3 linked regions of the Drosophila melanogaster genome follow. The protein of the gene in region 1 interacts with the protein of each later gene in a pairwise test. Each region holds a gene or a part of one and is shown in the gene's direction. Other genes may lie near its edges.

Region 1 (3,754 bases):
ACATGCATATATATTAATAATGTCGCATACAACTACTCAATGCCGTATAAATTAGCGTAAGTGCAAAGGTTTTTGTAGAAAACTCGTCAATAAAAATGAAAACAAAAAAAAAAAAACGTATAAAATATATTATCATACTCGTAAATGTGAAGCTATGCAGCATTTTACTGTAGTTAGATTTTTTGTATAGAATCAACGTTTGCAGATAAAAACCAAAACGAAAACCGAAACTAATATGATAATTTTACAGGTTTAAGGCGGAAATGTTCATTTTTTTAAGGAATAACGATATTAAGATATCATAATTAACATAACAAATTGCAACTAAAAAACCAAGCAAAAAAAGAAAAACGAAAAAATATTTTTTATAATTTCGCAGCACTTTCACATGATACCCGCACACGCACACATACACATCCGGCAATGTGTGCTAAATAAATTGTATAAATAATGCAAACCCAAAAAAAAAAAAAACAATGCAAATCATATTAATGTAGTTACATTTTTTTAGTTTTTACTCGCTATTTATATGAGGTATATTTACACAACGGAAAACGTAAAAGTAGACATAAATAAAACGTAAAAAGCGATAAAAAAAATTCATTAATTTACATTGAAATTAAAGTAAACTAAACCGAAATCAGAGCAGAAAGCATAAAATGACAAATTAGTTTAAAATGGTCCTGCAAAGGCAAAAACAACAAAAAATAAACAACATTTTAAATAACAAATTGAAGAGCTAAAAATGCATATTTTAAACATTTGTCTAAAACGCAACCGAAAGAAAAAACCAAAAGAAATGATAAATGTATGAAATAAAAGGTATAATAATAATATTATGTTGTTAATGTTTAAAAAACCTTGTTAAAAATAATATTTCAAAATAAAATATAAATACGGAAAAAAATAGCAAAGAAATTACCACCAAACTGAGAGCTTTATGAAAGTGAAATTTTGATTTATGTCCCAAAACTTTGGGCCGCCAAATACTGACCCAAAAAATGGCTGGCCGGGCGTTATAAAATTCCAATGACCAATTGCGTTTAGAAATTGGATGTCGCGCCTTGCATAAAATGCGACCAATTATTGGGGAGCGTTTCATAAGCATGTCTCATTATCATCGAAGGGCCTTTGGTATATGTACATCCGAAATGTGAAGCCTATCATACGGAATCCATTGGTTATGGAAATTGCATCCATTCGTTTTTGGGACACATCTGAATTAAGTTACATTACCATCAAATATCGCTTAAAATACAGCTCAAGCTTTTCTACGAAACCCTTAGCCCCCAATTGAGCTGACTTCCGTACAAAAACTAATTCGAAAAAGCTTTCACGCATTCCTTTGAGTCTTCGACGAGTTTAGCCAGATATTTAATGCAGTTAAATATGAGTTTAAAATTATTGGAAAAATATTGGCAACATCTTAAAAAGTATGAAAATGTTATAATAATATCTTATTATTCCCAAAATATTGTTTGGTTCCGCTTTAAAATGTTTGCTATTTTCCCCACTGTGCCTGCCGCATTTCGTAATTTCAATCGGTGGCTCTGCTCCTGTTTGCTGCCCCAGCAAAAAAAAAGACTTAAAAAGTGGGGCCAACAGGTGACAGACGGCGGCATTGGGGGGCCATCTCTTGATCATGTGCGCCTGGTCCGCATTGCTTTTTAAGGTAAAGAGCGAGTGCTGACTTGCGACGACAACAAGTTCGCTGCTTAAGTCTTTTGTTTGGCGCCGTCTCTTTCGCTCCTTTCTTTCGCCGGCCAAGAACAGTCAATGGGAAAACACTTTCGTTGCGATTAATCGGCCACTTGCTGGCAATTCATGTAGCTGCTGGTCGCGTGCTGCGCTTTATCCACTGCAAACTAGTTTTATTTGTTGGCTTTTTATTTATTTTATTTTTTTTTTTTTGTATTTCATTCGGCGCCAGAGTCAAGAAAATCCGACCACTTTCTTCAGTGCGCACTTCCAATGCGAGTCGTCACTCCATTCCAGTGGAACTCCAGCGGATGGGCACATGGTTTTTGTCCGCCACCAGCGACCAACTAACAGTCAGTTGTCTTCGCGACTTGAACAGGTGCGGACGTCGCTGCTCCTCGAATTTATATTCGAAACTCTTTACAAATCTTTTGTGCGTGCAGTTTAAGATCGAAGAAAGCGCCGCGGCGCTCGTTGACATGAAGTTAATTGACGTGATTATATACCTAATTGCCATTTTGATCTTCATCTATTTGCTGCTGGAGTAGCAGAAGAAGCCAAAAGTTGCTCGACATTTGCCCCAGAGCTTTCTACAGTCTACCAGATCCATCAGCCAGCTACCCGACAATAAAACAACGAAAATCTCTAGCAAATCCGAAAGAAGATGAGGGTAAGTGATTCACGCGGGTATTGTGAGTTTGTTGGCCACAATTAGCGGTTATTAAAAAGTCTCTCACTGCGCACAGCATAACACAATAATGGATTGGCTTTAATTTCTATTGCAAATTCAATGGCATTTCTTCTTCTCATCGGCGATCAACGACTTCAGACTGAGATTGGCATTCAAATTTGGTATCACCTTCACCTTCGCCAGCAAAGCCAGCAAATTGCAATCGCTGCACAATGAAGCTGTAGCTTCTTCAATTGAATTGAAGTCGTCGGAATATTTGTCAAATTGCAAGGTGGCCGGCAAAGCGAGCACTTTCATTTGCAATGGGAGCACTTGATGCGCCAAGTTTCGCCAAGATCCAGACAATGGATGGCTTTACGTGCACCAATTGCATCGCACACTGTGAGTTGCAAGCTGCAAACTGTGAGGCACAGGCGGCTGCCTCAATGTGCAGCGGGCTTGAAAATAAAATGCTTGCCGCTAAAATAAAAGTTGCATTTCGAGTTGCAATTTGGGTTAACCACACCGTTGTTTATGGTCGACGCTGTGGCGACAGCCCGCTGATCAATAGTTCCGCCTAGGCCGTTGGCAAAAATCCTTTGTCAGGTTCAATGGCACTGCCGGCCAAGCCCAAAAGGAAACCCGAAATTATGCGAATTCCATTTGGACTTTCGTTGAACGGGTTATCCGCCGTCGCCGTGGGCCATTCCCTGCCAGACTTTTCAGTGTTTGGCATCGGGCACCCGTCTCCTGGCAGCAGTTCATTCACCAGCAGGCCGCCCCTGGTATTTGCATATGATTATGATGCATGTTGCAATGGCGACAAACTAACTAACTTACTAACTAACCACTCCATAAACAATAAGCCACCAATTTTGTGGCAATTACCCCGATCACCGCCGCTGCAGTCAGTTTCAGTTGCAATCGGCAATCCGTTTAAGCAAACGCAGCACGTAATCAATAACTATACGTATTGGACTCGCCTAGGCATTTCACCTCTTGATTGACGTCTGGCTAACGGCACACCGTATTGCCATTGTCATTGCCGCCGCTCCGGTGGCTCCAGTGGCTCTGCTGGTGCGCTGCCCAGGTGAAATTTCAATGTCCAGTGGCCGCCTCAAATTACCCACTTCCCCTTCCATCGACGAGACTAAAGAGACCCATGCCAGCCGCGCTGAAGAGGCACATACTCATTCTTTTCAAGGAATAACATGCATTTCATTTTAATGGTTCCTATATATGTTTCTATAAAAATCTGACATTTTACGCCTTAATAAATTTATTAGATGCATGATATGTATTTCTTTCTTCGTTATTGTGTTATACCTAAACTAATAGAGCCATTCCCTTTAACCTATATAAAATGCATGAAAAATCCAAAATACT
Region 2 (3,754 bases), on another chromosome or scaffold:
GCCGGCAATGATCCGGCGGCCAAGCCCTGGCGTCATGTGAAGAAGGAGAGGCGCGAGAAGCTGCGCAAAAAGTTCTCGCACCTGGACGAGCACTGATTGTAGCCCATTAGTTATTTATTCCGAAGGGTGTGTCTAAGAGGCACTTGTACATTTTAAGCATTAAACCTACGTATATACATATATATTAAAGTCCCCCCGACTTCGAGAGTTTGAAGGCCCACAATCTCAGACTGAAAGAGTTATATTGCGCAACTAGCAGATTGAGAGAAACATAGATAAGCCATCTGATGGCCCAGCCTGGACACAACGATTAACACAAAGATAGCATATATTTAGCATACACACCAATGAAAGCAAACTGTTGTTGGAATGGCGCCCCCAATTGAGTTTAAGAGATGCGTGAATGGAAGGTAATTTCGAGATGCGGAGGAGCGCAGTTGCGCGGAGAAAAGAAGCCTGCACTTTGACCGCGTGATAAGCGCAGATGCTTACGGCTCTTGTCTTCTATCACTTGGCCACAGTCTCTATCACGCAGTCTTCAGCGATGGCCACAAACGAGAGCTGCAAGCACTTCAGGGAGCTGGTCGTCGAACAGCGTTCTGGGCTGCTCCACATACGCTTCCAGCGGCGCTGGCAACGCCGAACCCTCTACGAGCTGATGCGCGCCCTGGACCTGGCGAGTGCAGACGCCGCCGTTAAGGTGGTCGTGCTCTCGGGCGAGTTTTCTGCAGCATGTGGCGGTGAGATGGAACCGTTGGCTCTCAAACAGGGTCTGGAGAATAGGAGTAGGCGTACCGCTTCCCACGAAGAAGCTGTGGGCAGTGGTGATGCCGAGGAGCAGTACATCCATGAGAAGGCGGCCAATTTTGTGATGCGCTCGCTGGCCAAGAAGCTGCTTGTGCACCGCAAACTCCTAGTGGCTTTTGTGGAGAGGCAGTGCGTCGGTCTGGGCCTGAGCGTGTGCAGCCTGTGCGATCTGGTCTTCGCAACGGAGTTATCTGCCTTTGTGCCCGCTTTCTCGCACCTGGATCCCTGCACCAAGGTGGGTCCCGGCTGGACTGTGCCACACGTCCACTGGCTGCTTCGTCTGGGCGATCAAGCGAGCTCCAGCATTGCCCTCCAGTGTGGCCTTGTGGCCAGTGTGGTGCGAGAGCCGCAGGAGTTTTGGCACCGCGTCGACCAATACTTGCGCTTGCCTTCCGCCTCCCTGTTGGCGACAAAGCGCCTCCTGTTTCGTCCCTGGCAGGACTCCCTCTTGGCCGAATTGCGCGAGGAGGGCACTCCGCTGGCTGCGCAGCGACGCCGCTTGGCCAGATCCTCGCTGTAGGGTTGCGCTTCCAGATCCGTTGAATCGATTAAGTAAATAAATAGCGATTATAAAATAATGACATGTCCCCATGGTATTTCTTTTCATTCCTTTCATTGGAGCTCCATGACTTAACTTAAACTTTAAATCAAAATCTGCAACGGAAACGGGTATGCATATACAGATGGGCAGCACTGTTTTCGATATCTTTCGACTGGAAGGCACAGCTGATTGCCGGCGCGTGTTGTTTTTTTTTTGTTGCTCGCCGCAAAACTGCGAAAGTAAAATCTCGTAATTTTGGGGAAGATTAATTAACTTGGGCAAAATGCAGCGAGCACGACTGTTGCGGAACGTGTGGCTCTGCAGGCAGCGCTTGGGCCATCTGCCAGGACGCAGCGCTTCCTCCGCCAGCCTGGCATTCCGTTATGCAACGAAGCCTGCGGCGCCAGCGGTGCCGTTCTCGCTGCTCCAGATGCGATCCCTGGGAACGGGTGGCGTCCTCAGTGCGGTGGAGCGAAGAAGCCGGCGCCCCGCCTCCTCCTCTGAAAAACCGAAAGCCAGCGTGGCGGATGCGTGGACACAGCTGGAGGCGTACTACCGGCAGCACGATCTGATCAACTTTGAGCACTGCCAGCGCCTGCTGGAGCTCCTGCAGGAGTCTGCGTCGCCGCTAGGAGTCGGCATCGAAGAGGTGCACTTCCTTCTAGGGTCCTGTGTGCCCGAACTGCTTCCTGCTCAGAGCAGCCAGGAGCGTCTTCAGCTCTTCAAGGGACTCTGGGCTCAACTGATCAAGTTGGGCCAGCCCACGCTGGCACATTACCACACGAAGCTCCAGGTGCTGCGCCAGAACCGTTTGCCTCTGACTGACTATCGCTCGTTGCTGGCGGAGATTGCCGTCTACCATGGAGCAGCCGATTCCACCTTGTACGGCGCTCTTTTGGACGTGGCCGGCGCCGCCGGAAACATGCGCATGGCCACCGAGATTTTGTCGGAGATGCGCGAGCGCAGCCTCGCCCTCACGGAGCACAACTTTCACGCCCTGCTTTTGGGCCACGCCCGCAGCGGTGATCTGCCCGGGGCGGAGTCCGTCCTAGCCAGCATGCGGGCCGCAGGAATACAGCAAGGCAGCAGCACTCAGGCCATTTGGTTCGAGGCTCTGCTGGAAAACGGTCAGTTGGCACAGGCCAAGGAGCTGCTGCAGGTGGAGCACGGATTCACCGCCCCTCAGCTGCTCCAGATGCTGCGGGGTCTGCTCGCCAGCAAGGATGTCGACACGGATCTAATCCAACTGCTTGTCAAGGAACTGCCCCGCGAGTTTCTAACAGGTATCGACCTGCCGCCCGCCATCAGAAGCCTGTGCATTCAGCTGGTGCACCAAGGACGCACCGAAGTCGTCATACAGCTCGTAGGTGCGTTGCCCGCTCCGAAGTTCGAGTTGCAGAATCAGAACGTGGATGAGTACGGTGCACTTCTGCTGCAGGAGTTCTTCCGCGCCCAAGTTCCGTTGGACCAAACAATCCAGTTCGCCGGTCAACTAGTGCAGCGGAACCAGAACGTCCGCGCCCTGCATTTGGTGGCGGAGTTGGCCCTTCGCCGTCAGCCATCATCCGCGCTACGCTGCCTGGAGGATCTATCTGCAGCCGGCGAGGAACTTCGTCCGCATTACTTCTGGCCCCTGATCTTGCACCATTACCGGCGGGAGGGCGAAAGCGGCATGCTACGCCTGGTTTCTGAAATGCGGCGCCTGCGCGTTGAGTGCGACGAGGAAACGTTGCGGCACTACCTGTTTCCCCACCTGCGCCAAACCCTGGTGCAGCCCTTGGAGGCCGTGAAGGCACTTGAATCGGCGGGGGTCAAGCCTTCCCAGACCCTGTGCCCGGTTGTGAGCCACTTGCTGCAGCAGCATCAGATGTCCGAGGTGCTGGACTTGCTTGATCGGTATCCGACACGCTTGGACCTGGCCACGCTGCTCCAACCACTTTCTTCGCTGGCGGTCAATGCCCGTGCCACGAAGCGTTTCGAGGTATTTGCCAAAGTGATCCAAGCCCTGCAGCAGAAGGCACTCAAACGGGGAGAAGATTTTGTGGGCTCCTTGCTGCTGCAAATGACTGGACCTCAGACGCGTCTGCGCCAGGATGCCACCTCGTTGCGACGTTTTCTGCACGAACTGAGACGCCTAGAGCTACAAATCTCACCCGCTGCCTCCGAAGCTCTACTCTCCGTGGTCCGGCACGCCACTGATGACGTTGACCTCATCCAGGATCTGGCCAAAACGCTGCAGAAGATGAAAAACCCACAGCTCGCCCTGCCAGCTGACACGGTCTCGCTCCACGGAGGCTTCATCAAGCACCCGCGCGACATGAGCATAGACGAGCTCGAGTGCCACCTAGTCGAGCTGGAGTCCAAGCAGCTGAACCCGCGAGGCGTGTTGCGTCGCTTGCTGCAGCT
Region 3 (3,754 bases), on another chromosome or scaffold:
TCGCGGACCAAAAAAACACTACGCCTTTCAACGGCGTTTCGACAGGAAAGAGCGAGGCGCTGCAGCGACCATAGAGCTGGGACAATTCTTGATATTTTCGATAGTCGGAACCAGTAGTTGATCGATAGTAGTTCACGTGACAGATTCATCAGATAGTTATTTTGCATGTTTACTTTATAGTTTTTAAACTTTTATTTTACAGAATGACGTTTTCGTAATTTTCCACGTAATTTTCCGCGTCGAAATCGTGGTTGTTTATATAGCCATAAATAAATATTGCTAAGCACTATTATTAATTTACATACATCCGCTTAAATTTCTTCTAAATTATTTTTCTTAAAAATAATCTAATCTATATATATATATTTCTTTATCGCTTAAACTATCTTATGAAAAATAAACTTTAAGTGAAAGCTAGTTATATTCTCATTTGCTCATAGATGCCGAGCCTTTAAAGTTAACGACTTATGATAGTTTCGATCAAACGGCATTTCGAAATTCTACGCACGCAGTAATATTTAAAGTATAGCAAGCGAGAACGCTATCGTCGATTTTTACGACTATTAGATACCCATTACATAGCTAATGCGATTCTCTAGGAAAATATTTAAAAATTTTGTTGGCGTTGCGGTAGGAATTAAAAAAAGGTTTGAATTGTGGGCTTGAAAACTTATTGAGGTTTGTAGGTGTAAGAGTGGGTCACGCCACGGCATATCGACAGAAATTTGGCAGACAAATAATAAAACGAAAAAAATCAAGAGATCCGAAAGTCAAATTTTCCGACAAGAAGTTTCAAAATTTGTAAAAAATGCGGTGGAAGGTCATGGCGTAAGTGTTTTTGGTATTCATTATACCCGCTACTCGTAGAGTATAAGGATATCGTTTGTTCGTTGAATGGTATGTAACAGGCAGAAGGAAGCGTTTCCAACCATATTGCTCAGGATCAATAGCCGAGTCGATCTAGCCATGTCCATGTGTCCGCCTATCCGTATGAACGTTGAGATCTCAGGAGCTATAAAAACTAGAAGGCTGAGATGCCCACTCTAACGCCCTAAAACCGCACCATTAACCATTTTTCCAAATTTGTTCATAATTTTATTAGTCTTGTAAATTTCTATCGATTTGCCAACAACAAGATAATTATTTTATAAATTATGAAATATGGCGTTCGCATTCACACTAGATAAGTAATGGGTGTTTGATACTCAGGGAACTCTACTATAGCGTTCTCTCTTCTCTCCTTTTGCTCTAGCGTCACTTGAAACTTTCGAATTAGACGGCCTCATGTCACCTCTGAGTTCAGGTTCGTATCATTGATAAAGCAGCCTTGGAAACTCTACTCTACTGTACCCTATTCTCCACTTGCGATCCCGCTTATATCAGATATTTTATTTTTTCTAAAAAACGTGGAAAACTAACCAGGAACTAGAGATATTGGTCAATTGAAAGGAGGACAACAGTTGAATATTTTCAACCCGGGGAAGACAGAACGCCTAATTGGTATATTTTGAATAAAACTTTTTAATTAAACCATAGCCAAACACCTTTCCGCCCAAAATAATGCTTTGTTTACATACACGTACCATGTTGTCTCTCTTTTGACAAACGTTTTGATATTTGTTGATTTTTGTATTCGTTTTGTAAATTTCCATAAATTTTTAAAAATTAAACCACGTACATATTTGCCCACCGGTGCCCACGCATCAAATATAGAAATGGTTCGTGAAGCTGCTTCAAACTGTAGAATAGCTCTCTTGCTGAATTTAACAGCTTTCGGGAAAGAAAAGAGCTTTTTCTTTTTCTCATTATTGTGTTCCACATTAAAAAAAAATCACTCAAACAATACCCCTCACCACCTAGAACTCACCTCACTTACCCCTCACCAACCAGAACTCACCTCACTCGAATTCAAAAACTCACTCGTTCCAATGTTGCTGCAGCATTGTTGCTCGCATTTTGAGTCAAGCTCGTTCTAATGTTTCGGCAGCATTGTTGCTGCGCGAAGACGGCCGGCAAATGAAAATGATGACGACGCGGGCGAACAGTTTTCAAGTGATTTTCCGAGCTCGCGGGCTGTGCTAACGGTAAAGGAAAATTCAGTGATTGGGGACTTTCACGTTGCACAGTTGATGTATTGCTTTGTGCGCGACGGTGTTGTTGTAGTGCGAAAGCAACAAATATTCAAAAAGATTCAGTTAAATTACGTGATTAAGTGGTCTAGGATTATCCACTTAAAACCGTTTGCAAATATTATCAGTCACCTTTTGCTCAAAAAATGTAAAGTTAAACGTTTACCGACCAATTTGAGCCGAAATATTTAAAGTATACTTTATGTTGTGTTTTCGACAAAGTGAAAAATTATAATACTAGAAATTTACAAAATATGTGAAATGATATATATGATCGAAATAATATAATTTCAATAATAAAAAATTAACTTATGCTGACAAAAATTATATGTTTTATTTCTTTTCTTTACTTAGAACATACATTTTAATTACTCAATAAAATGTAACATTTAATATGAAACCAAAAGTAATATAAACAAAGCTCTATAAAAAACGACAGGCAAACCAACTATTATATAAATCATAATTAGAAACTACAACGCAGAAAAAGGAGCAATAAGCCTAAAATACTCTTAAACCGTCAAATGCATCATTTTGGAAAAGCATGTTCCATCGTTTTTGTCGCACGAAAAGTTAAAACGATACTTATTGTCCAACGAGTGGCAATTGCGTCAATCTAAATTTTAATTTAGTTTGAGTGTGGAAGCTTCCGATAAACTTGAAAATGGATCTTGGATTTTTATTAGATGAGCGAGTCAAGCCATTTAATTTCTGATTGCCGTAAGTCTGACAACTTTACTTGTCTACATACAAAAATCCTACTAAACTTTTAATTTTTATTCAGTTTTCTTATAACTTGCATGGTTTGTGAAGCATAGGTCGGTAGACCCACTTGATTAAGCTTCTATATTGTAAAGACTTGAGTTGAGAGAAAAACTGCCGAACGAAGTGCTTTTAAAAATGCAATATTTCTTTTGGGTCCTAAAGACTAAAATTAAGAGTTATCGAAAGCAAGGATCGTTATGCTAGATTTTACATTATTATCCCAACCCCCATTAGTAATTGAACTCAATCCATGTACGAAGTCCGATAACATCCAACAAAAGTATAGGAAACTTTATATGTGTACCGTCGAAGAGTGCATATTTTAGGTTTCGGACAAAATCCCAATAAAGATTTAATAAGAATACGAAATGCCCGGTCCCAATGTATTTTTGTAAAGCACACAATGAGACACAAAAGCTTAATAGGCCCAATCCGAACTCGGCACACGGGAACCAAGCAATGTACATAAGTGTTCACATATGTCGACAGTTCCTTAATAAACGGCAAATGCATAAAAAGGTTCCGACGACTCACACAATGTCGTCGTGCTTTTTAAGTAAATTGTAAAACATCCAAGAACAATTTTTGTTGAGCGTGGGGTGCTAAAACAAGTGTGAATAAGGTAATGCGGAAAAAGTTTGCAAAAAGTCAGCGACAGTGTAAAGTGCCGAACAGACTGTCGGTTGTATGGTTCGGGTGCATAAAAAACCAAGGTATGAATGAAAATTCAGCCAATGTGGAAAACGTCTTGACCGGGGGATGTTCATATGATTCTGCCGTCAAGTCCTGCCCGTACCCGTACCCGTGTGGTCACTTCACCCAGAACTTTTTTTTAACATCTTTATCAATTTGAGAAGGGC

What was found.
Region 2: the proteins of CG13627 (region 1) and Lrpprc2 interact in a two-hybrid assay, tested with the Drosophila melanogaster proteins (one large-scale study listed by BioGRID).
Region 3: the proteins of CG13627 (region 1) and nolo interact in a two-hybrid assay, tested with the Drosophila melanogaster proteins (one large-scale study listed by BioGRID).

The regions. Positions count from the first base shown.
Region 1 is NT_033777.3:24,710,730-24,714,483, forward strand, and holds the start of CG13627 (uncharacterized protein), read left to right. Parts: upstream 1-2,050; 5' UTR 2,051-2,177; coding exon of another isoform or gene 2,178-2,246; 5' UTR 2,247-2,362; coding exon 2,363-2,368; intron 2,369-3,754. Other genes in the region: CG46316 (uncharacterized protein), read left to right, coding at 2,178-2,246.
Region 2 is NC_004354.4:1,458,436-1,462,189, reverse strand, and holds the start of Lrpprc2 (Leucine-rich pentatricopeptide repeat containing 2), read left to right. Parts: upstream 1-1,572; 5' UTR 1,573-1,631; coding exon 1,632-3,754. Other genes in the region: Ns3 (nucleostemin 3), read left to right, coding at 1-96; CG14787 (uncharacterized protein), read left to right, coding at 545-1,327.
Region 3 is NT_033779.5:21,682,063-21,685,816, forward strand, and holds the start of nolo (no long nerve cord), read left to right. Parts: upstream 1-2,043; 5' UTR 2,044-2,277; intron 2,278-2,483; 5' UTR 2,484-2,849; intron 2,850-3,754.